Mus musculus: one gene and its partners. The protein of the gene in region 1 interacts with the protein of each later gene in a biochemical or structural test. Links are inferred from orthologs where the notes say so. Each region holds a gene or a part of one and is shown in the gene's direction. Other genes may lie near its edges.

What was found.
Region 2: the proteins of H2ac20 (region 1) and Ubr2 form a complex in vitro, tested with the Homo sapiens proteins (2 studies listed by BioGRID, with this or other methods). The link is inferred for Mus musculus from reciprocal best matches to the Homo sapiens genes H2AC20 and UBR2.
Region 3: of the proteins of H2ac20 (region 1) and Rnf168, one has a biochemical effect on the other in vitro, tested with the Homo sapiens proteins (4 studies listed by BioGRID, with this or other methods). The link is inferred for Mus musculus from reciprocal best matches to the Homo sapiens genes H2AC20 and RNF168.
Region 4: of the proteins of H2ac20 (region 1) and Ube2b, one has a biochemical effect on the other in vitro, tested with the Homo sapiens proteins (2 studies listed by BioGRID, with this or other methods). The link is inferred for Mus musculus from reciprocal best matches to the Homo sapiens genes H2AC20 and UBE2B.
Region 5: of the proteins of H2ac20 (region 1) and Kat2a, one has a biochemical effect on the other in vitro, tested with the Homo sapiens proteins (2 studies listed by BioGRID). The link is inferred for Mus musculus from reciprocal best matches to the Homo sapiens genes H2AC20 and KAT2A.
Region 6: of the proteins of H2ac20 (region 1) and Usp16, one has a biochemical effect on the other in vitro, tested with the Homo sapiens proteins (2 studies listed by BioGRID). The link is inferred for Mus musculus from reciprocal best matches to the Homo sapiens genes H2AC20 and USP16.
Region 7: of the proteins of H2ac20 (region 1) and Mysm1, one has a biochemical effect on the other in vitro, tested with the Homo sapiens proteins (2 studies listed by BioGRID). The link is inferred for Mus musculus from reciprocal best matches to the Homo sapiens genes H2AC20 and MYSM1.

Annotation. Positions count from the first base shown.
Region 1 is NC_000069.6:96,219,913-96,222,103, reverse strand, and holds H2ac20 (histone H2A type 2-C), read left to right. Parts: upstream 1-1,223; 5' UTR 1,224-1,259; coding exon 1,260-1,649; 3' UTR 1,650-1,691; downstream 1,692-2,191. Other genes in the region: H2bc21 (histone H2B type 2-E), read right to left, coding at 558-938; H2ac21 (histone H2A type 2-B), read right to left, coding at 1,796-2,188. UniProt on the Homo sapiens protein: Core component of nucleosome. Nucleosomes wrap and compact DNA into chromatin, limiting DNA accessibility to the cellular machineries which require DNA as a template.
Region 2 is NC_000083.6:46,927,791-46,930,532, reverse strand, and holds the end of Ubr2 (E3 ubiquitin-protein ligase UBR2), read left to right. Parts: intron 1-32; coding exon 33-174; 3' UTR 175-2,242; downstream 2,243-2,742. UniProt on the Homo sapiens protein: E3 ubiquitin-protein ligase which is a component of the N-end rule pathway.
Region 3 is NC_000082.6:32,297,961-32,301,460, forward strand, and holds the end of Rnf168 (E3 ubiquitin-protein ligase RNF168), read left to right. Parts: intron 1-427; coding exon 428-1,366; 3' UTR 1,367-3,482; downstream 3,483-3,500. UniProt on the Homo sapiens protein: E3 ubiquitin-protein ligase required for accumulation of repair proteins to sites of DNA damage. Acts with UBE2N/UBC13 to amplify the RNF8-dependent histone ubiquitination.
Region 4 is NC_000077.6:51,984,638-51,987,564, reverse strand, and holds the end of Ube2b (ubiquitin-conjugating enzyme E2 B), read left to right. Parts: intron 1-754; coding exon 755-883; 3' UTR 884-2,427; downstream 2,428-2,927. UniProt on the Homo sapiens protein: E2 ubiquitin-conjugating enzyme that accepts ubiquitin from the ubiquitin-activating enzyme E1 and transfers it to a E3 ubiquitin-protein ligase. In vitro catalyzes 'Lys-11'-, as well as 'Lys-48'- and 'Lys-63'-linked polyubiquitination.
Region 5 is NC_000077.6:100,709,668-100,713,851, reverse strand, and holds the start of Kat2a (histone acetyltransferase KAT2A), read left to right. Parts: upstream 1-1,384; 5' UTR 1,385-1,447; coding exon 1,448-1,771; intron 1,772-1,915; coding exon 1,916-2,039; intron 2,040-2,373; coding exon 2,374-2,519; intron 2,520-2,622; coding exon 2,623-2,712; intron 2,713-2,948; coding exon 2,949-3,130; intron 3,131-3,215; coding exon 3,216-3,407; exon of another isoform or gene 3,408-3,602; intron 3,603-4,184. UniProt on the Homo sapiens protein: Protein lysine acyltransferase that can act as a acetyltransferase, glutaryltransferase, succinyltransferase or malonyltransferase, depending on the context.
Region 6 is NC_000082.6:87,464,985-87,468,484, forward strand, and holds part of Usp16 (ubiquitin carboxyl-terminal hydrolase 16), read left to right. Parts: intron 1-1,268; coding exon 1,269-1,372; intron 1,373-3,500. UniProt on the Homo sapiens protein: Specifically deubiquitinates 'Lys-120' of histone H2A (H2AK119Ub), a specific tag for epigenetic transcriptional repression, thereby acting as a coactivator.
Region 7 is NC_000070.6:94,976,301-94,980,416, reverse strand, and holds the start of Mysm1 (histone H2A deubiquitinase MYSM1), read left to right. Parts: upstream 1-1,316; 5' UTR 1,317-1,351; coding exon 1,352-1,413; intron 1,414-4,116. UniProt on the Homo sapiens protein: Metalloprotease with deubiquitinase activity that plays important regulator roles in hematopoietic stem cell function, blood cell production and immune response.

The DNA of each region.
Region 1 (2,191 bases):
GAACCATAACCGACTTCTACCAAATCGGCAGCAACGTGGAACATTCGTGTTTGTAAATCAGTAAATTAGAGGGACACCACCCTAAGTACCCCGTAACCGCTGGTGCCCAGGACACAAGTAAAGGGACAGAGCGGTTTCAGTTGTAGATGGCTGGTACCCAGCATTCGCCGACACAGTCTTAGCTGTGTCCTGGAGCCCTCTATTCGCCAGGGTAAGGAAACCATCTCACTTTAAGTCGACAAGTAAATGGTACCCCAAAAGCCTAGAACACGGAAACCGGGCCCAGAGACCCACCTCCATTATCCTAGTCTAAAAAGAACTCCAAGAAGCTAAGTAGGGTGCAGCAAACTGCAAACAGATACCCACAGGGGAACTCAAAACCACAAAGGCTTAAAACTTCTGAAGTGTACCCTTTTCAAGACCCTTGGAGTAACTTTGGAATAGGAACTAGAAACTAATGCAAGTGGCAAAGCTCTCTTCTGATTTGAGCGGGTGACTCACTAAAAGAGACTTTAAAAGATCAAAGGGGCCAGCGAGCGCCTCATCCAGGGAGGCCTCTACTTGGCGCTGGTGTACTTGGTGACGGCCTTGGTGCCCTCCGACACGGCGTGCTTGGCCAGTTCTCCGGGCAGTAGAAGGCGCACCGACGTCTGGATCTCCCGCGATGTGATTGTAGACCGCTTGTTGTAATGCGCCAGGCGAGAAGCCTCGTTTGCTATGCGCTCAAAGATGTCATTGACAAACGAGTTCATGATGCCCATGGCCTTGGACGAGATGCCGGTGTCCGGGTGCACCTGCTTCAGCACTTTGTACACATAGATGGAGTAGCTCTCCTTGCGGCTGCGCTTGCGCTTCTTGCCATCTTTCTTTTGCGCCTTGGTGACAGCCTTCTTGGAACCCTTCTTGGGAGCCGGGGCAGATTTGGCCAGTTCAGGCATGATTAAAAGCAAACAGTGGAAAACAGTCTAGTAAGTAGAAAATCAACCAGGGACCCGGAGGACTTGAGCCCTTTATGAACGCCTTATGCAAATTAGGTCTCAAAGTACTTTTAATTTCCATTGGCCCATACGCGAAACTTGCGTTTTCAGTACAAGCCTAAAATTTCAGATTTCATTGGACTTCTCAGGGGCCAAATAACCACCAATGAAAAGCTCCCTCCTCACCCCACCCCTAGGAGCGCCTATAAAGGCCTTAGAGACGAATCAACCTAGCTTTACAGAAGTTGTCACCTCGGTGTGTCCTACATTATACTCTAAGTTATGTCTGGCCGTGGCAAACAGGGAGGCAAGGCCCGCGCCAAGGCCAAGTCGCGGTCTTCCCGGGCCGGGCTACAGTTCCCGGTGGGGCGTGTGCACCGGCTGCTGCGCAAGGGCAACTACGCGGAGCGCGTGGGCGCCGGCGCGCCGGTATACATGGCGGCGGTGCTGGAGTACCTAACGGCCGAGATCCTGGAGCTGGCGGGCAACGCGGCCCGCGACAACAAGAAGACGCGCATCATCCCGCGCCATCTGCAGCTGGCCATCCGCAACGACGAGGAGCTCAACAAGCTGCTGGGCAAAGTGACGATCGCACAGGGCGGCGTCCTGCCCAACATCCAGGCCGTGCTGCTGCCCAAGAAGACCGAGAGCCACAAGGCTAAGAGCAAGTGAAACTCAACACGAATCCAAAAAGGCTCTTTTTAGAGCCACCAAATCTTTTACAAAGGAGCTAGCTAACGCGCCAGTTTGTGACCAGCCCTTTGGATGACACTTTGGTGGCTCTTAAAAGAGCCTTTTTGTGTGGAAAGGGATAATAGTTATTTGTTCTTTCCAGGCTTATGACTTTCCGTTTTCTTCGGAAGTAAGACAGCCTGAATATTGGGGAGGACCCCGCCCTGGGCGATGGTGACTCCCCCTAGTAACTTGTTGAGCTCCTCATCGTTCCTCACAGCTAGTTGCAGATGGCGCGGGATGATGCGCGTCTTCTTGTTGTCGCGGGCCGCGTTGCCCGCCAGCTCCAGGATCTCGGCCGTTAGGTACTCCAGCACCGCCGCCATGTACACCGGCGCGCCGGCGCCCACGCGCTCCGCGTAGTTGCCCTTGCGCAGCAGCCGGTGCACACGCCCCACCGGGAACTGCAGCCCGGCGCGGGACGACCGCGACTTCGCCTTGGCGCGGGCCTTGCCTCCTTGTTTGCCACGGCCAGACATGGC
Region 2 (2,742 bases), on another chromosome or scaffold:
TGTGCCTGTGAGTGACATGTGTCTCTTTCTAGACGAGGAAATCCTTTACATTTATGCCAAGAGCGGTTTCGAAAGATCCAGAAGCTCTGGCAGCAGCATAGTATCACAGAGGAGATCGGACACGCGCAGGAGGCTAACCAGACCCTGGTCGGAATTGACTGGCAGCATTTATAATCGCTCCTCTACTAAAAACTTGACTTGGAGTTTTGTAACACAGCTGGCTTTTCCAGAAAGACAACAGGAAATAAGTTCGGCTGAATCTATTTTGAAATAAATTCTTTATTTAAGCTTTTCTTCCCAGTTTTATTTTTCTAGTCTGGCTCCAGGGACTGATAAAAGTCATTTCTGCCAGATTTTATTGCTGTGTCCCTTAGACGGACGTCCCCTGGGTTGAGAGCCCTTTCTAGACCGGAGTCTAGCTCCTTTGGACGCTGCCTGCTTCAGCTGCAGTAGCCTGAGCCAGTCAACATTGCTGATGGTGTCAAGCTTGCTGGCTGTCCACCAGAGGCCAAAAGGAGCCCTGGGGCCTGTCAGGAGGACATGTCCCACCATGGTTCCTGAGACTGGGATGCGGTTCAGCTCTGGGACTAGACCTCACCTCCAGAGCAAAGCAAGTCAATTTGAAGACAGGACTCGCTTCCCCCTATGGCCTAGAGAGCTGGGGACTCTAACAGGAGAGCAGCCGGCTTTTCATGGCTGTAGATGGTTGGTCAAGACTTTTAGCTTTGAAAGCATTACTCAATTAAAGGGCTTTTTGAAATGTAAAGGACCTCCTAGTTTTTCAGACTATAGCCTTCTGCTCCAAGGCTAAACAGAGAGCATGTGCGCACCCTCAAGCAGACCACAGCAGACAAGTAAGAGCTCGGCTGAGTACAGTGCTCCAAGCCTGCAATCCCAGCTCTCAGGATGCTTAGGCAGCACTAGGAGTTCAAGGCTAGCTCCAACTGTGTTACAAGCTTGCGGCCAGCGTGGGTAACTTGAGGAGACCCTGTCTCAAACCAAACGAAATCCAGAAGGCAGTGTTTTGAGCTGCCTGCCCTGCCCTGCCCTGCCCTGCCCTGCCCTGCCCTGCCCCGCCCCGCCCCGCTCCGCCCCGCATCTGGATCAGATGTGTTGCTGCTTGTCTGCTGGTTGATCTAGGACATTCCTCAGCCTGTGCACACAAACGCCTGTTCTTTTTATTCTAAGAGCAGCCTTTCTAGAACTATAGCTACTTGGTGCCACAGTTACGGCTCTGGCACACCGCACACCTATTTCCTCGTCTGACGGATATCCGTCACATTCAGAGAAGTCACATAGACATGGTGACAGCAGGTTCAGCAGAGGGATGAACTCCAGTCTCCAGGAACAGAAAGGGGCTTTCAGCTTCTCTAACCATCAAAGAACCTCTCACTCAGCCTTTCAAATCACATCCACTCAGCTCTATCCATGCCTCCGTGTCTCAGGAGAGTCAGAAATCCAGACCAGAGGCTCAAAGAAATGCAGGTAGCACAGTCTCCAGGATCATGTGAGGAGCTGCCTCCCCTTCAAAGGATGGACTTCAGTTAGCTCTTCAGCGCGGCCCAGGCTCAGGACAGAGAGTTTGTAATGGAAGCCCAAGCTAGACTCCGTGCTCTCCCTTTGTCTCGCCTTCCCTTGGCATAGTCAGACTGGGCTGTGGATGGTGATGCTTTCGACCTTTGGCACATGCCGTTTCTTTAGATTTTAAGTTCAGCTTCTGTTGGCTCTTCACCTTCCGTTCACAAGGCTTAACTGTAAAGTTATGGGAACGTCTCTAGACTTGAGCCTAGTGCTAGAACACTTGCCTAGTGTGACTGAGGGCCTAGGTTCAGCCCTGGTACCAACCCAAAAGGAAAAAAAAAAAATCATGAGCACAGCTTGCTTCTAAACAGGCTGAAAACATCTGCTTTCTCACCTGACTCCACAGGAGCCTGGGATTAGCAGAGGTGGCCCTGTGTTTCACTCCTGGGAACATCAGGGTCTGGGCAGTGACTTCCCAGGGAATGGCAGTCCTCACACTGTGGCAATGTCATGTCCTCCCCCTACCGACACGTCTTACTTCCACTTGTTCCGCATGTTTTTGTTGTAGAAATGTTTATATACCATGCTTTCCATATCAGGGGAGATCATGTGTTTAATAAATTGGCTATAATTTTAATATCTGTGGACAATTGTAAAATTTGGGATGTATCATATGTAAAAAGTAAAGATATTCAAATAAATGCTTTAGTGTTGACATTGAGTTTTGCCTCCATCTTCTCCATGTCATTCGCACACACGGGGCCCCAGCAAAGCTCCTTGTGTCACCTTGCTGCAAAAGTGGGACATCGATATTAGCCTAAAATTTAAGAAGCTTAAACTATTAGTGTCAGCTATGACCACTAGCCAGGCCACACTGACCTTCTGGGAGGCATGGGCGTTAGCTCAGCCTATGAAGTTTTCCTCTTGTTGTCTGTGAGAGTGGGAAGTCTGGGGCCCCTGGACCGCAGAGCAGTGCACAGCAGGTCTGTGGGAGACTCTCTCAGCCTTGCCTGCTTCCCTGCAGGTCCTTGTTCTTCTACACCCACCCGACACTTGGCTTCTGCGATGTGTTCAAGAAGGAGACGACTCAGAGTGGAATTCTGCTGTGTTCTCAGAATTCTCTTACCAGACTGAGTCAAAACATCAAGTTCTCCATGGGACACTGTCAAACACCAGGGTCTCCATTGGGCTTCCCACCTCCTGGTCATTAAGGCTAACTCC
Region 3 (3,500 bases), on another chromosome or scaffold:
CCAGCTATTGGCCATATGTTAAACATAATTAAAGCTACTGTAGGTTTCCATGTCAGTGAAATGACTTGTCCTGATCTTACTTGGCACACCAGGTAAAAAAAATAAAGTTAAGAAAGAATTATGGCTGGGCAATGGTGGCGCACACCTTTAATCCCAGCACTCCGGAGGCAGAGGCAGGCGGATTTCTGAGTTTGAGGCCAGCCTGGTCTACAAAGTGAGTTCCAGGACAGCCAGGGCTATACAGAGAAACCCTGTCTCAAAAAACAAAAAACAAAAACAAAAAAAAAAAAGAAAAGGTGGGTACAGTGGTGATGAGAATCCCTCATTAGTAATATGTGATCGTGTCTAGTGACCATTCATCTAAGAGATGAGTGTAGCTGGCTTATACGTTTTCTCTATATATACTCAGGAGTTTTGTTTTCTACAGGAAACTGATAGGAGTGACACGAAGAGCCCTGTGTTGCAAGACACAGAAATTGAAAAAAATATACCAACACTTTCTCCTCAGACCTGCCTGGAAACTCAAGAACAAGGTTCGGAGTCTTCTGCAGGGATACCCGGGCCACAGTTATGTGTAGGAGACACTAAAGAGTCCCTTGAGGGAAAAGTTGAAACAGTATCAACCAGTCCTGATGATTTATGTATTGTAAATGATGATGGACCTAGAGCCACAGTTTTTTACTCTAATGAAGCTGCAGTTAACTCTTCTAGTAAAATAGAAAATGAAGAATACTCTGTGACAGGTGTGCCCCAGTTAACTGGGGGCAACAGAGTTCCAACAGAGAGTAGAGTGTATCACTTACTAGTTGAAGAAGAGATTTCCGACAGAGAAAACCAGGAATCTGTATTTGAAGAAGTCATGGATCCATGTTTTTCTGCAAAAAGAAGGAAAATATTCATCGAATCCTCCTCAGATCAAGAAGAAACAGAAGTGAATTTTACACAAAAACTGATAGATTTGGAACATATGCTTTTTGAGAGACATAAGCAAGAAGAGCAGGACAGATTGTTAGCATTACAACTTCAGAAAGAGGTAGATAAAGAGCAAATGGTGCCAAACCGGCAGAAAGGATCCCCAGATCAGTACCAGCTACGCACACCCTCACCCCCAGACAGGCTGCTGAATAGACAAAGGAAGAATTCCAAAGATAGGAACTCCCTACAGCAAACTAATGCAGATCACTCAAAATCTCCGAGGAACACAAAAGGTGACTATTGGGAGCCCTTTAAAAACACATGGAAGGATTCAGTTAATGGAACAAAGATGCCAACTTCTACTCAAGATAATTGTAATGTATCTAAAAGTGCCTATACCGTACAGCATAGAAAGTCCCAGAGAAGCATTGTTCAAATGTTTCAGAGATAACCAAGCAAAGCATGGGGAAAGAGTTCTATAATCCAGAAATGATGTATTGCAAAGCTAGCTCTTCTGTCCTAATATCCTGAGATGTCTCACATTCTGCTCAGCAAGCTTGCTTACTCTCTGAGGTTTGGTTACAAAGGAAGAATTTACAAATGTGTTTCTACAAAAGACGGCTAGTAGGAAACAACCTTGGGAATTGTTTCCATTGTCAATAACTGCAGTGTTCTAAGTGTGGCATCTTTACAGGTATAAAAACACCTTGGTCAGTACATCTTCAGGTGCCACTTCCCTTTCCAAAACTTTTATAGCCTTTTTTTTCCCTCTTTTTTTTTTTAAATGAATGGGTAAGGAGTCCACACAGGTATCTTCCATAACACTAATTAGTTCCCTTCATAGTTTTAATTCTAAGCATTTTAGCATTTCCTTTGAATTAAAATAGGTAAGTATCGGACTGGAGAGATGGCTCAGCGGTTAAGAGCGCAGACTGCTCTTCTGAAGGTCAGCTGCTCTTCTGAAGGTCGCAAGTTCAAATCCCAGCAACCACATGATGGCTCACAACCATCCATAATGAGATCTGATGCCCTCTTCTGGCCTGTCTGAAGACAGCTACAGTGTACTTACATATAATAAATAAATCTTTAAAAAAAACAGGTAAGTATCAACATCAATTAGTTACAGAATAGCTGCTAGATTGTTTGTTTTTTTTAAAGATTTATTAAAAAAAAAAAAGCCGGGTGTGGTGGCGCACGCCTTTAATCCCAGCACTCGGGAGGCAGAGGCAGGCAGATTTCTGAGTTCGAGGCCAGCCTGGTCTACAGAGTGAGTTCCAGGACAGCCAGGGCTATACAGAGAAACCCTGCCTCAAAAAAAAAGAAAAGAAAAGAAAAAAAAAAGATTTTATTATTATACATAAGTACACTGTAGCTGACTTCAGACAGACCAGAAGAGGGTATTAGATCTCATTACGAGTGGTTGTGAGCCACCGTGTGGTTGCTGGGATTTGAACTTAGGACCTTCAGCAGCACTCTTACCTGCTGAGCCATCTCTACAGCCCCACTGCTAGATTGTTAATGCAAGGGTTTAAGAGTGGCATGGGCTGAGTGGTGGATTGGTAGGTAGGGAATCCCTGGAACTGAATGGGTAATCAGAAACTGGGTCCAACATGGACTTCAGGCTTCTTGTAGCAGAACATTCTCTTTAATCCCTTTAAGTGGCAGAAAATATTTAGAGTTTACAGCTTTTCCCTCCATGGCATCTTGGTGTGAGAGGGCGAATTGGTATATTTTTACTGATCTTGTCTAGAAACAAATAAATTATTGTAAGAAAATGATACTACGCTCTGCTGTCGAACACCTGGCTTTACCATCCTCGCTGCTTACTGGCTCAGACACATGCTTGTATGTGCGCACAGATGGAAAATGGTGTGGGTTTGTCTTGCATTACCCTGGGATCCAGACGAATCTTGTCAAGTTGAGCTTCTATCTTTTGTTAAGACAACTTAGCAAGCTGTAGTTTCAGTAGATTCTCTTCTGGTGTCTTGGCTCCATTTATTTCCTGTGAACATAATAAACTGTCCTAATGCAGTGTTTGGCTTTTTCCACATTTTTGTCATTTGAATTTTTTCTTCCGAGTTTTAAAACTTTTTTTATGTTTATCTTGGCAATTTTTTTTTCCTCTAAAAGCAATTTAACTTAATGCTTTAGGAAGATAGTGATGGGACTTCAAATTAGATATTATCACATTCAATCTTTGTGAAATAGTTCATGACCAAAAAGGGACTAAGAAGAACATTCCTGTATGGTATAGTGAGAGTTTATATATTTACCACCAGTTTGTCCGTGGGCAATCATCCTGATTGAAGTTGTTTTCAGGTTTTTAGTTTCTCTGTTAGCTCTCTGTTATTCTTACTGTTGATACCTTTGTGTTAGCATTAGATTTTTTAAATTGGTCATTAGTGAACTGCTTTTTCCTCATTTTTGTTGGAAAATATTAGAGTATTAAAGCTGTGCAGATTTGAAAAAAAGATGCCTGGCATGATGGCACAGCCTAATTCCAGCATGTCAGAGGCAAGGGCATCTCAGTTCTTAAAAAAAAAAATTAAAAGAATGATTAATAAAAATTGGCTCTCATGTTCATT
Region 4 (2,927 bases), on another chromosome or scaffold:
AGCCACCATGTGGCTGCTGGGATTTGAACTCAGGACCTTTGGAAGAGCAGTCAGTGCTCTTGACCACTGAGCCATCTCTCCAGCCCCAGAAGAGTGACTGTTAACCCTTAGCTTGCTCATTACCCTGTATTTTCCTTCCCACCTCAGAACTTTACTCTTTTATTCCCTCCCTGCTAAGCGTATGTGAGTAACCACAGGAATAAGGTTTGGGCCTAGCGGCAGGGGACAGTGGTTAGTAGTAGAACACTTATCCAGCATGCCCAACTTCTGAGCACCACAAAAACCTGATGATAGTGGATCTGGGAGCTGGGAAGTGGTGGCGCACACTTTTAATCCTAGTTGTAGGAGAGCAGAGGCAGAGGGAGGCCAGGGCTACACAGAGAAAAATAGAGAGAGATACTACTAGCAGTACAAAATACATGAAATTAAATTTCTAAGGTATTTATAGGTGTTATAGTTCAACCAGATTAAGCTGTTACTTCAATGGTGAGGAAGTTCTTATATGCTAATGAATACTGTTTTTGGCTGATCTCCTTGAAATGGGAAATCTCAAGGCAACTGAGAACTATTTTGGAAGCTTATGTTTTTTAGCAACAGAAACCTGCTTCATGTAATTTCTGAAGGTTTTGTGACCCGAAAGATGACATTGGAACTTCCAAGTAATTCTGTTTTGTGTAATTTTCTGTCCTTATCTGAGTCCTGTTACTATAGCACACAGCTGAAGAGCATTTTCTTCTCTCCTTCTCTCTCCCAGTCTCTGCTGGATGAACCGAATCCAAACAGTCCAGCCAACAGCCAAGCAGCACAGCTTTATCAGGAAAACAAACGGGAGTATGAGAAGAGAGTTTCGGCCATTGTTGAGCAAAGCTGGAATGATTCATAATAGACACCTGGTCTGCTCATCCTTCATCGTTGTTGTGTATAATTTACCTCCCAGTAGAAAGGCTAGCAAGTTTTAAGTGCCACGGGTTTTAAGGATTCTGCAGAGAAAAAAAGAAAAAGTCCTTCAGTTTAGAACCTACAAAAGCTTGTGTATCTTGATTAATGTACTTTTTATTGCATGGTGTGAACTAAGTTATTGCTGCATAAATTTGTAATATATCCTGTTTGTATTTTTTTCCAAGTGTATAATGTTGGTGTGGAGTTTTCATGACAGAATATACACATTTTGTAAATCTGTACTTTTTTCAAATATTGAATGCCTTATTTTTGAATTCTTTAGATTTTTAAATTGGAGAAAAGCACTTAAAGTTTTTTATATATGAATATTACGTGTAAAGCTGTTAAAATACATAACTTCAGTGCAAGAGACTTTGTCACTTATTTCCTCACCTGTGCAAGAGGGACTGCGAAGTCTCTGCCAGGTGAGAGCCTCATTTCCAACTGCAGAAGGTCACTCTTCTGTTTATCAAGAAAGTCTGCAAATTCGATTCTAAAACCAATTCTGATCTCCGGCTTTATTTTGAATGTACTTCTGTAAGTTCAGTTGAGTAACTATAGACTTACTGGTCTGGTTCTGTCCAGCTCTGTATTTGGGCCACTTGTTAATGTGCGTTTCTCATGTAAACTGTACCTTTTGTGACTTCACAATTGGCACCTCCACCACGAGCAGAGCTGACTTCCTCTGCTGTGTGGCAGCACCTTCACAGGCTTTTGATTAAAAAGAAAGTAAAACCATCACCATTTACCAAACACCGTGCCGCAGTATTAGCAATGGCCGGTTGCGCTGGTTTGAGCAAGGCAGAGATTTGGAAGGAATCTTGGTGTAACTTGAATATTTGCAAACTACCTTTTAATGCAGCTGCGCGCTACCTGTTTATTCTGGAACTGTTGAGCACCAGGGCCTGCCGAGTTGCTTCTCACCTCCTCAGTTGTATCCAAGTTGTACTGCATCTTAGTTTACTGGATAGATTTAAAACACAGTATTGTAGAAAGCTAATACAAAGCTATCCTATGCCTTCAAATAGTATAGAAAATGGAAAATATACAAGTAAATTCTGTTGAACCACTTGTGCAGTCTCTCTAGTAGTTGAAACAGCAATTGCAGTGAGCCTGAGTTTCTTGTCATCCACACCAGCCTCCTAGAGATGTGCTCTGGTAGCCTCTCTGCTGGAACGTTGGGTTGCAGAGTGACCATGTCTTCTGTTTACAAGCAAAGTTGAAAACTGGGATGGATAAGAACTGATACTTCCCTTTAGAAGTCGTTACTCCAGAGGGCTGAAAAGATGGTTCAGTGGTTACTGCATGTACTGTTTCTGCAAGAACCCAGTCTCTGTTCCCAGCTCTCACTTCAGACAGTTCCCAGCTGCCTGTAACTTCAGCTCCTGGGGTTCCAAAGCTTCTGACTAAATCAGACACTGACAGTCACACAAACAGACGCTTACATAATTAAAATAAAAATACTAATTTATTAAGCTTAGCATGGTGGCACATAACCTATTTACATCCTTGGGAGGCTGGGGAGGGCCATGGTTTTGAGCCTGCTATTATATGGTGAGTTCCAGGCCACTTGGGTGAGACATGTGTGATGCTTCTGCCATGTATTTAGCTCCATTACTCTTTCCTTCGGTGACTTGGACAGTAAATAAGCAATTACTTGTGAGAGGGGCTCAACTATTTCACTAAACACTATCCTGGGTATGTCCGCACCATATTTATTCTTAGCTGTTTTCTTCATCCATTTGAAAACATTTCAAGTACTTACTTGGTAAACAGTTAAAGGGAGTGGTGTCAGGTGGTGAGCCAGCTGTTCAGTTTTTCTACCTATCTAGCCCATCTTGACTTTTGGAGAAAGTCCTTAGAAATGATCTATTAGTCACTCATTTTTTTGTCTTCAACAGAGTACCAGATCTGCATCTTTAACTCATACACTTTATCATGCACAAATGTTCGTTTTGGTCTAGCTACGTTTGTACAGCAAGAAGCTA
Region 5 (4,184 bases), on another chromosome or scaffold:
ATCCAGAAGGGCAAAAACACTCAAGTCGCTGTCTTATCTTCCTTGCAAGCGCTGCAGCTTTTGTCCAGAACCGGCTTCTGCTTCTCCCTGGGCCCTTCTCTCACATCAGAGGGCAGGAAGGAGGCTATGAAGGAACTGGATCACCTGAATGTGCGGGGTTACAGCTCCATCCTGGGAGCTGATGGGATTGAGCAACGGGGTTGAAAAGGTCTGGCTTGCTCTGCCCTGCCCTGCCCTGCCGGCCCTGCCCTACCCTGCCCTTTTAAGAATCGGGCCTGGGGCAAGGAAAATTGTTCTCTGGACTGAGCCAAAAGAGGGGGCCTTTCTGATCTTCCAGGAAGAACTATCCCTGACCTTTCACAGTCTACCTCTACAATGGGAAGAAACTGTCTATTTCTCTGGCTTTCCTCCACCCCCACCCCCCCATTAAGGAGTGGGCAGGGAAAAAGATGGAGGTAGGATGGAAGGGTATGAGGTCAGGAATCCTCTCCATCTTCAAAGCTGCCTAGGCGAGCCAGAAGAGGGGACCACCCCCTACCCTCCGCATCTTCAGTGTTGGTCTCTCTGGTTCTTTAGTTCTCAGCACACACAAACACACTCCCCCCCCCCTTTCCTGCCCACTCCCAACACACACACACACACACACACACGAATGCCCGTGCATGAACACACACATTCAACAGCAGCATGGCCCACAACTATGTCTCTTTGTTCTTTTGAAAATAAAACCGTTTCTGTTTAACAGCAACCCAAGTATAGAAAAAGCTGATTGTCACTGGGCAGTGATGGCGCATGCCTTTAATCCCAGCACTTGGGAAGCAGAGCCAGGCGGATTTCTGAGTTCGAGGTCAGCCTGGTCTACAGAATGAGTTCCAGGACAGCCAGGGCTTCACAGAGAAACCCTGTCTCAAAAAACAAAATAAAACAAAACAAAACAAAACCCAAAAACTGATTGTCAAAGTTAATTCATAAGTGTGAACACCACAGTACAAATAGTAGAATTAATGTTACATTTTATCTCTATTGTAGCTGCAAGCCTTAGCCGGCAGCCACAATAGGGCAGGCTTTTGCAATGTGGGAGCCAACCTCAGGCCCAGGCCTGTTCTTCCACCTATGGACTTTAAAAGGGCAGCATCCACAAATCCTCCAGACGGCCAGTGTTCTGGGGTGCCTCTTGTTCCCAAGAGGATAGTAATTGTCACTATCTCGGATGGCTTAAAAAAGATTAGAATGAAGTAATGGTCAAATCTAGGATGCTCAACCAAGCGACATTTGGTTGTCTGGAACCAAGAAAAAAAAAAGTATGGAAGGCCAAAGGATGGGAAGCGGCAAAGGAAGACTACGACTCCCATCGTGCGCCGGGGCCGTGACGCCTGCGCACTGTGCGCCGGTTGCCCATGCGGCCCTAGGGCTGGGAGCGCGGCGCCGCTCCGCTGCGGGGGAGGCCATGGCGGAACCTTCCCAGGCCCCAAACCCGGTCCCGGCAGCGCAGCCCCGGCCCCTTCACTCCCCAGCCCCTGCCCCAACTTCGACTCCTGCGCCCAGTCCGGCTTCAGCCTCCACTCCGGCTCCGACTCCGGCACCAGCCCCTGCCCCAGCTGCAGCCCCAGCTGGGAGCACAGGGAGTGGGGGCGCCGGGGTAGGAAGTGGGGGGGATCCGGCTCGACCTGGCCTGAGCCAGCAGCAGCGCGCTAGCCAGAGGAAGGCGCAAGTCCGGGGTCTGCCGCGTGCCAAGAAGCTTGAGAAACTAGGGGTCTTCTCAGCTTGCAAGGTGGGGGCGGGGCCTAGAGCAAAAGGGGCGGGGCTTGGGGCATCCAAGGTCTGGGGTAGGAATGGGGGGCGAAGCTCTAGCCATAGAGCCGCTCTTGCGCTTGGGATGCAGACAGCATCAGGGAACTGAACCTTCCCCCTCCAGGCCAATGAAACCTGCAAGTGTAATGGCTGGAAAAACCCCAAGCCCCCCACCGCACCCCGCATGGACCTCCAGCAGCCAGCTGCCAACCTGAGCGAGTTGTGCCGTAGCTGTGAGCACCCTTTGGGTAAGGCAGGCACCACCTTTGGAGCTGGGGCGGAGGGCAGGAGCCAGGTCCTGTTTGAACAGGGTGACATAAGTACCACAGAGCTTCTTGGAGACCTTCTAAGGAAATATTGGGTAGGGAATAAATGTGAATGTCCCATGGAAGGAAAAAAGGAGATCTGCCTTGGTAGCAGGTAGCTACCAAGGGCTGATGGGAGAACTGAGAACACTGGGTCTCCCTGTCTGTCAAGAATTGGAGAATCAAGGGTGTGTCACTGGCTAGTTAGAGGAGGTACAGGAATCAAGCCCCGTGGAGCTCTTCTGTTCTTCCCAGCCCTAATGTAACCATCTTGCAGCGGACCATGTGTCCCACCTGGAGAATGTGTCAGAGGACGAGATTAACCGGCTCTTGGGAATGGTAGTAGATGTAGAAAATCTGTTCATGTCTGTTCACAAGGAAGAGGACACAGACACCAAACAAGTCTATTTCTACCTCTTCAAGGTGAGTTCTCATGGAGTAAAGATGGTGAAGCTTTGGTGTGTGTTGGGGATCCTGCTCTCTGAGCTCTGCTACTCCTGTTTCTGCCCATCCCTCTTCCTTACAGCTCTTGCGGAAGTGCATTCTGCAGATGACACGGCCAGTGGTGGAGGGGTCTCTAGGCAGCCCCCCATTTGAGAAGCCTAACATTGAACAGGTAGGGCGGGCATGTAGCAAGATTAAAGGCGACTTAAGAGGGTGGAGAGTCTGGTTTATTTCCTCAAGCTGAGAACAGGGGAGAGGTTCAAGGAAGGGACATGGTGTTTGCTGACCTCAGAGTGGGTGTGGAAGTTGGAAGGGTCAGAGGTTCTCTTCACAGAATCCCTCCTATTTGACATGCCTCTGTTGGCTGTCCACACCTCCTCCTGATTTTGTCCCCTCCTTACTCCTCAGGGTGTACTGAACTTTGTGCAGTACAAATTTAGCCACCTGGCCCCCCGAGAGCGCCAGACAATGTTTGAGCTCTCAAAGATGTTCCTGCTCTGCCTTAACTACTGGAAGCTGGAGACCCCTGCTCAATTCCGGCAGCGGTCCCAGTCTGAGGATGTCGCTACCTACAAAGTCAATTATACCAGGTAAGCCCAGACAGGGCCTTACAGGGGAGGCTTGAACAGCCAGTCTGGCGGTCTCCACCCTCACCTGCCGCTCCACCTCCCCCAGATGGCTCTGTTACTGCCACGTGCCCCAGAGCTGCGACAGCCTCCCCCGCTACGAGACCACCCACGTGTTTGGCCGAAGCCTTCTACGGTCCATTTTCACTGTCACCCGCCGGCAGCTACTGGAAAAATTTCGGGTGGAAAAGGACAAACTGGTGCCTGAGAAGAGGACCCTCATCCTCACTCACTTCCCCAAGTAAGGCTCAGTCTGGCCTCCTGGGATTTTACCCCAAATTCATGTCCTTGCTGTTGTCCCCTTTTTTCCAGGAAGGCTTCCTGGATTGGTCCCTCCTCTCCCTCCATGGGCCTTCTGGGATCTGGGTGTCTACCTGGCAGATTTGCCCATGGCCCAGAAGCTACTTGCTAGTATGTGCTAGTCTGGGGATGGCAGGTACATGGCCCAAGCTAACGCTACCCTCTTTCAGCCCCCTGATAGATAGTTACTAATTAGTTTCCTCTGGGTGTGTGGATATCACCCCAGAGCCCCTCCTACCACAGTGCTCTGAGAAGTCTAGAGTTTACTTTTTTTGTTTGTTTATTTGTTTTTTCCAGACAGGGTTTCTCTGTGTAGCCTTGGCTGTCCGGGAACTCACTTTGTAGACCAGGCTGGCCTTGAACTCAGAAATCCGCCTGCCTCTGCCTCCCAAGTGCTGGGATTAAAGGCATGCGCCACCACGCCTGGCTTAGAGTTTACTTTTGAAGTGAAGCCATTACCTATCTCTGTGCCTCTGTTGTTCCACATCTTCTTCCCATTTGAATCTGGGAACAAGCATGTGGGAACAAGAGGTGACAAGATTGGCTCATTCTAGACCAGTCTGATAGAGAGGGGACTAAGGCAATTCAGGTGACTGGGTGGGTGCCCTGCCTAGCCACACAGCATAGGATGGCATCCGCTCAGACCCGTTCTCCTTGGCCACACATCATGACAAAATTGGGTCTCCAGTCTCTATCCTGGCTATGTCCTATCCTGAGC
Region 6 (3,500 bases), on another chromosome or scaffold:
AGGCGTGGGAACTAGCACCTCCTGTGTCTTTCCTTGTAGAGTTAATTGGTTTTAGTTTAAAGACAGGGACAGGAAGCACACATTTCAAATACATGAGAATATAGTACAAGGATAATGAATTTCCACAAAACCATTGTCAGGCCATTTATGATGCTGTATCTTCTAGATTGTAATATGATTAACCGTCTTTGCAGCAATATTCCTCTGAGTATCATCTGTCACTTGTCAACTTTGTTAATTTTCTTGGCCTTGGCCTGCAGTTTAAATGATGTGTGCACAAGACTGTGTAGTCCATACATATTGGAGTGCATGTTGTGTGTGCAGAGGCCCAGCAGTGCCTCCCAACAGTTGCTCACCTCCTTACTATGTGAGACCTTCCCTCCCTTGAGGGGAAGTTAGTGGGTTCTTGTTTGTTGTCTGGCTGGCCAGGGGCCTCACTGGATAATACTGGAATTACAGGTAAGTGCATGTGTATATAGGGCATCAGACCCAGCTTCCCATGCTCTGTAGCAAGTGCTCTTAGACACTGAGCCATCCATCCCGAAGTCCTCACCCTGGGCTACGGTGTGAGAGCGCTTGCCTAGCCTGCACGAGACTTTGTGTTCCATTCCTAGAACCTTATATGGGGACAAAGTGACAAAGATCACTTCTATGATTTTAATGATGCTCCCTGTGTTTGGAATTTCTAGTCTACTTAGGCGTAGCTGTAATTGTGGTGAATTTTATTAATAAACCAGACTTAAAATGTGCTTAGTTGTACTAAAACACATTTTAAGACTTATTTTTATGTTTAACTCTGTATATGTCTGTGTGTAGATTATTTCATGAGTACAGGCACCTGCAGTTATAGGATTCCCAGAGCTAGAGTTACAGGTCCTGGGGACCAAACTTGGGTCTTCTGGAAAAATAGTACATGCTTATAACTACTGAGCTGTCTCTCCAGCCCTCACGGAAACCGTTTTTTATTTTCAGTTTCTCTCTACAATTTTAGATTATTAAGTGTGTGATATGTTTGTGTGTACATGTATGTGCGCATGTGTGAGCCCTGTTGTGCAGCATTGCCATAGTGCATGTGTGGAAAATCAGTTTTCTCCTCCACTGGGTTCTGGGGGTTAGAGTCAGGTTGCAGGATTTTGAAGCAAGCACTTTTATCCACCAAGCCGTTGCCAGCCCTACTTTCATTGTTTTTAGTAGAGTAATTTGATAATTATGATTTGTCCCTCCCTCTCGTAGTCGTCAGTGTGTCGATTTTCTTTCTCTGGTTATAGGTGCTACAAGTGTGACGAGGAAGTCAAGTACTGTAGCTCAAACCGATTGGGCCAAGTGGTTGATTATGTTAGAAAACAAGCTGGCGTAAGAACTTCAAAACCAGGTAAAAACCCAAACCAATATGTTTCTTACTAGATATAACAATGTTGGATTTGTATAGCTGCTTTTATATACTGATTCCTTTACCAGCCCCACCTCCCTATTTTTTTTTCTTTTCTTTTGAGACAGGTCTTTATATGTAGCACTGGCTATCCTGGAACTTGCTATGTAGACCAAGCTGGCCTTGAGCTCACAGAGAATCCTTCTGTCTCTGCCTCTTAGGTTCTGGGATTTAAGGCATGCAACACCATGTCCAGCCAGCCATTCATGTACTTTGTGAGATCAGATCTGTCGGTAGATCAGGTTGCCCTTGAGTTTGTGAGTCAGTTGTCTCAGCCTTCTGATTACCAGGCTTACAGGGGCCTGACCCACACCTGGTTAATAACCTTACCTCCAGTATTACACATAGCAGGTAATATTAGTTGTGACTTGTTTTATTTTTGGTGGTACAATTAAATAGGATGTGAGAAATGATCTAGCCATATGTGATAAAGGGCCTGGACTAAGGTCACTAAAGGTCAAAGGCTTCTTCTCATGACTCCAGCCTAGAGCTATAGACATTATTATAGACATTGTACATGCATGTATGTGTCTGTGTCTGTTAGAGAGAGAGGGAGAGAGAGAGAATTAGAAGGATTTTCTTTTTCTGATTTTCTTTTATATTGCAAATAGTTTTTAATACAATATATTCTGATTATCGTTTCTCCACTCCCAAGCCTCAACCCCTCTCAGAGTCTCTTCCTAGCTCCTCCCATACAAATCTATACCCTTTCTCTATCCTTAGAAAACAAACTAGAATCTAAAGAGGACTACGATAAGACAAAACCAAACTGGAATAGGACAAACAAAACAAACAAACAAAAAATCTAGCCAAAGGACAAGCACAAGAACCACATTGAGAGACAGAGATGCCCGCACACACAGAGACACACTTGCCCGCACACACAGAAACTAGAAATCATAGTGAGTACTCAAAGGACCTGCCAGTGCGGGAGGAAAGGCTCTCATAAAGCATTAGAAGACAACCTTCAGGAGGATTATTTTGTGTTGGTCATTTACTGCTGGGCATGGGGCCTGCCTTTTTGTTTTCCCAGTGAGGCTGAGTTTCTCATTTTCAAGTGGTTACCAATTGGAGATAGCTACTGGGTTAAGGATTGGGTCATGTGTCTACTTCTACTATGAGAACTGGGACCCCATCTGGTGCAGACCTATCCACTCCCTGTGCTCTGGAATCTCAGGAGATTTGGGTGCCTAAAGGTTGCCTCATAGGGAGTGCGTTGAGACCCTGTCAGGTCTGGCCACGTTGGATCCTAAGTAGAAAGTGTTTCTAGATACTGGGAGTTGACACAAAGAAATAGGGAGGGGCTAACAAGGAAGGATACTGAGAGGGTCCACAAGAGGGAGGGAAGCTGGGTGTGCTATGAAGGTCTGCATGGTCCCCTGGGAATGGGGGGAGAGACGGGAGAGATTACAGCAGATGGTTTACTAAAAGCTGGGGACAAGATGGAATTGGGATTTGAAACTGAAAGACAGCTTGGAGAGTGAAGAGCACCTACCTGGTTCCCTGACTGTCTTGTCCAGTGGATTTCCAGGGAGTGCCTCCTGCTATTGACAGGCTAAGACAAAGGGATGGGGTCGGGGAGGAAAGCTGTAGATCTGCCCAGGCCCCTGGGAATGGAGGTAGACAGGAAAGAGGCTGTAGCAGATAGATGGTCTACAAAGCTGGAGATAAGATTAGGGGATGGCAGTGGAGAACTGGAAGGTGAGTGAGGATTGCTTACCTCATTCCTGGCCTGGCCTGTGTGGGCAGCAGGTTTTGCGGAATGTCTATACAGACTTAACTATACTATAGTGTGATATATTCATAATTGAGAAAATTCAGTCTCTCTGTTAAATAAAATGAGCATACACACACGTTGATTTTTAAACAAAGGAATTTTGTTTTGGAGACTTGGTCTTTTCTAACTCTGGCTACACACAAGCCTGGAAGTCATATAACTCTGTCTGCCTATGCCTCCTGTCTTAGTCAGGGCTTCTATTCCTGCACAGACATCATGACCAAGAAGCAAGTTGGGGAGGAAAGGGTTTATTCAGCTTACATTTTCCACATTGCTGTTAATCACCAAAGGATG
Region 7 (4,116 bases), on another chromosome or scaffold:
GAGTGACTTTTTAGGGGAATTACATAGCATATTTAAAGGATGAAACCATAAAGTAAGGGAGGGCAAGCAGGGTAGGCTGTAGCTTCGGCCAATCATATTTTGACCATAAAGGGTTGAGCATGCGAATTTCCACCAATCAGAATAGGAGCTGGTTCCTGGGCCTGGGAACAAGAACTTAGTTTGACCCTACAGCAAGCTGGAGAGTGTCCTTGAGATGGCTGGACTCAAACTGCTGTCTCCTTACAACTTTCCCTGAGATGACTGGACGCAGACAATTGTCTCCTTCTAAGTTGTCTCTGAGATGGCTGGGCTCAAATAGCTGTCTCCTTACAACAGAAGCTCCCCCAGGGCCTGGGACCTTGAATTTAGTTTACCCCTATGATTAAATGAAGCCTGAAAACGACATGGTAGTACTTAAAAAAAAAAAAAAGAACAAGTTTATTTTGCGGGGCGTGGTGGCGCATGCCTTTAATCCCAGCACTTGGGAGGCAGAGGCAGGTGGATTTCTGAGTTCAAGGCCAGCCTGGTCAACAGAGTGAGTTCCAGAACAGCCAGGGCTATACAGAGAAACCCTATTTCAAAAAATCAAAACAAAACAACAACAAATCAGGTTTATTTTGCTGGTTCCCAATACACTTACCTGTCCAACACAGCTTCTACTACGTGAGACACTGTGCTGAACGCAGGCAGTGTAAGGACTACCAGACAGGTTTTATCCTTAAAGAAGTCACAGTCTGATCGAGAAGACAATGAGTCATGGATTCTAACTGTATGAGAGACAGATTTGAGGGCAGAAAAATGCAGAAGCAAGACTCTGATTTCTTGGAAAACCGTTAAGTTCTTTGCTTCACAGATTCCCAGCAATGATTTGTATGTATATGGCAAACACTCAGGGCAGAGTTTAAAAGATCAATCTACCAAGCTCTCTGTTTGAACAATCACGTCAGTTTTCTGAGTCTATTTACTTATCCATAAAATAAAATCCGTGAAACCTGCATCCATTCCACTGGGTCATTCTAATAATTCACGGTGGCGGGCGGGGCGGGTAGGCGCGCGCGCGCGTGTGTGTGTGTGCGAAAATGAACCAGAGACAATGGATGCCACAAAGCAGGGTCTCTCGCCTGAATGGAAAAAGATCTGCTGTGAGTTAGCCCACGTAAGACGTGAGAGAAGTGAGATAACCCATGCGGTCCTTGGGGAAGCAGCTTTCACGCAGTCTCCTGGTCTTACTCGCCGGAGTTCCCCGGAAGTGCGCCACGCCAAGGCCCCGCCTCCGGCCCTGGGCCCGCCCCCGGTCCCGCCCCGCCGCATCTCGCGGGATCTCGCGAGTACGCCTGCGTCAGGTGCAGTCATGGAGGCGGAGGAGGCGGATGTGGATGTGGAAGGAGATGTTGCGGCGGCTGCACAGCCGGGGTGAGGCGCGGAGCGGGGTCCTGCGGGCCGGGCTGTGCTAGGCAAGGGTCGGAGGATGCGGTTGGCCGAGGGTCCGTGTGGACGGCGTCGGGACCCGGGGTGCTCCCAGCCGGAAGTCGGCCGGGTCCGGGAGTGGACCCGGTGCCCCAGGTTGCACTGTTTATCTCCACTTTCTGGGCTGCGATGGACAGTGTTTAATTCGGATTCCTACCTGCATTCGCGCTGTCTCAGGCGCCTCACAGCATCTTGAACACTGGCGTCTAATTTAGTCCTGCGCCCGCTAGCGACCTGGTCCAGTCGTTTGATTCCTCCTTCTCAGAGCAAGTTGTTGAAAACTTGGGGGAAAGGCAGCTTACCCTAAAGGATCCAGATTTTAGAGTTGGACAAGTCATGTTTGCCTTTTGCTTTTGCTCTTCCTGTTTACTGTCACTCTGACCGTGATCAAGGCATTTGAGGCATTTCCAAGCAAGGCTCCGCTTGCTTGGAAACCAAGAATCACTTGTCGATCTTACTGTTGTAAGCATCGAATGAAATAATTCTGAGAGATGTTTTAGCATATGGAGAATGCTCGGCAGATGTTTTCTTTGCTGTGTTAGGATAATGTAGTGAAGACCCAGTTAGGGGTGTCATGCCAGTGCCTGCAAGGACGGGCAGTGTGATTTTAAACTGAACCTGATTTGACACGTGCCTTTAGGAGGACGCGGTATCCCTCCTTTTAAGTAATGGGGGCCAGATAGGACCTCCTGTAGAAGCCAGGTACATTACTTGTAACTTGTCAGCGACTTCGTTAGAATTCTGCTGAAGTACATACTATTACTAGTACTGCTCCATTTTCAGCCCATATAGTTCATTTGACAGGAGGGCTGCTCCACTGTAGACTGCCAGTCCTCCTCTATAAGGCACCAGAATAAGAAGCATTTTAAAATAGCCAGTGAGTTCTTAAAATGTGATGAAAATGAGGGGTAGTTAACTTCACATAAATATTTTCTCAAAAGTTCAAAAGTTACGTGGATAGCCTGAGATAGCAATAACTCTACACCAGTGTGATATATCAGACTTGAGCAAGTGCTTGTGATGTTTGAGAATCGGTGACCTCAGTGGGCGAGGGCAGTTTGGAGTTCATAAAGGAATTCACCTGGTGTTCAGTGACCGTCACCTGAAAGCATTGGCTCTGTGCCTCTCTCAAGGGTTCGTTTTAACTTTCCTGGTTGTGTTTAGTTTTTCATCCCTTTTTCTTGTACCATTTTCTTGACACTTGAGACTACTGGTGGCATGTTGTAATGTTAACCTCGTATGTTAGGTCTCAAAGGAGAGACAAATGATTACCTGAGGTGCTGTATTACAGTGGAACTGGCCTCCAGGTTCTTAAAGCATCCTTCAGTCTTGCCTGTTGCAGGGTATGGCTGGCATACCCTGCCTCCTACCCTATTTTCTTTAGCCCTGAAGTTAGTCTGCCCTTCCCCCAGCTGCCCTTCTCTATATAATTCAGCCATTTTGGCTATCTGGCCCTTTTGGTCTGTCCTTTACTCTATTGGCCTGTCTCTTGGCCCAGGCAGCCTCTCTCTGTTGCAGCTTCTCTCTGCATTCTCTTTACATGGCCCAGTTCAGGGTCATATTCTCTCTGGATGTTCCCCACCATTGCATATGCTCTCCCTTTTATCTACAATGAACTTTCTTCTCCGCCATACTTAGGAGCAGTCATGTCCTGTCTTTTCTTTCCTTCCCTTCCCTTCCCTTTCCCCTTTTCCCCTCTTCCCCTTTTTCTTTTCCCTTCCCTTCTCCTCCACTCCCCTTCCTCTTCCTCTCCTCCTTCCCTCCATCCCTCTCTCTCCTTTCTTCCTTTCTTTCTTTCTTTCTTTCTTTCTTTCTTTCTTTCTTTCTTTCTTTCTTTCTTTCTTTCTATGCAGCATGCAAGCAGGATTAGGAGGGTCCTCATGTCAGCCACTGCTTCTGGAGCATCACTGACATTATGTGGAATGGTGCCCTGTAATGCTGGAGTTTGAATCATGTTGAGTTTAGTGTGCCGAGTGCCCCTTGAGGTATTTTGTGTTACAGGGGACAGTAGCATTTAAGGAACTCTTGAAGATTAGTTTGAAACATACCAGTTTTAAGCATTTACTGAAAGCTAGATACGAAAACCAAGCATTGCAATTTGGTTTTCTTTCAACTATTATTTCTTCTCATCTTCCTTTTCTGAATGTTTTTGAACCCTCCTTGAGGAAATGTGTTTTGCCATAAGAGTTGTGCTCAGTGGCCATTCCTAGTGATATCTCCAAGCCTGGCATCTCTCCTGACTTAATTTCTGTCAAGTTGATGTTTTGCTACCCTGCCATTCTAATGTACAAACCTAACTCTCAAATTCAACCTAACACTTGTTTTTATTTCCCTAAACCCTCACTGACCTGTGTCTGTGAGCTTCCGATCAGAACTCTAACTAGAACCTACCAGCACTTCTGTGTCTCACAAGTACCTCAGCATCACTGTATCAGCTTCCCTCTTTCAGATTTTTCTCTGAGCTGTCCCTAGTTCAGTGCATGATGGCAACATCCACACAGTCTCCAGGCACAGACCTGAACTCCCTCCTTTTTCCTTCTGTCATTTTTCTACCCCCCACCCCCCAAAATCTGGTCACTTATTAAGTGTCCTTTCAGACAGCACTCTTGCTCATTCTGCCTTTTTTATAGATACAAATTATTGCTGTGT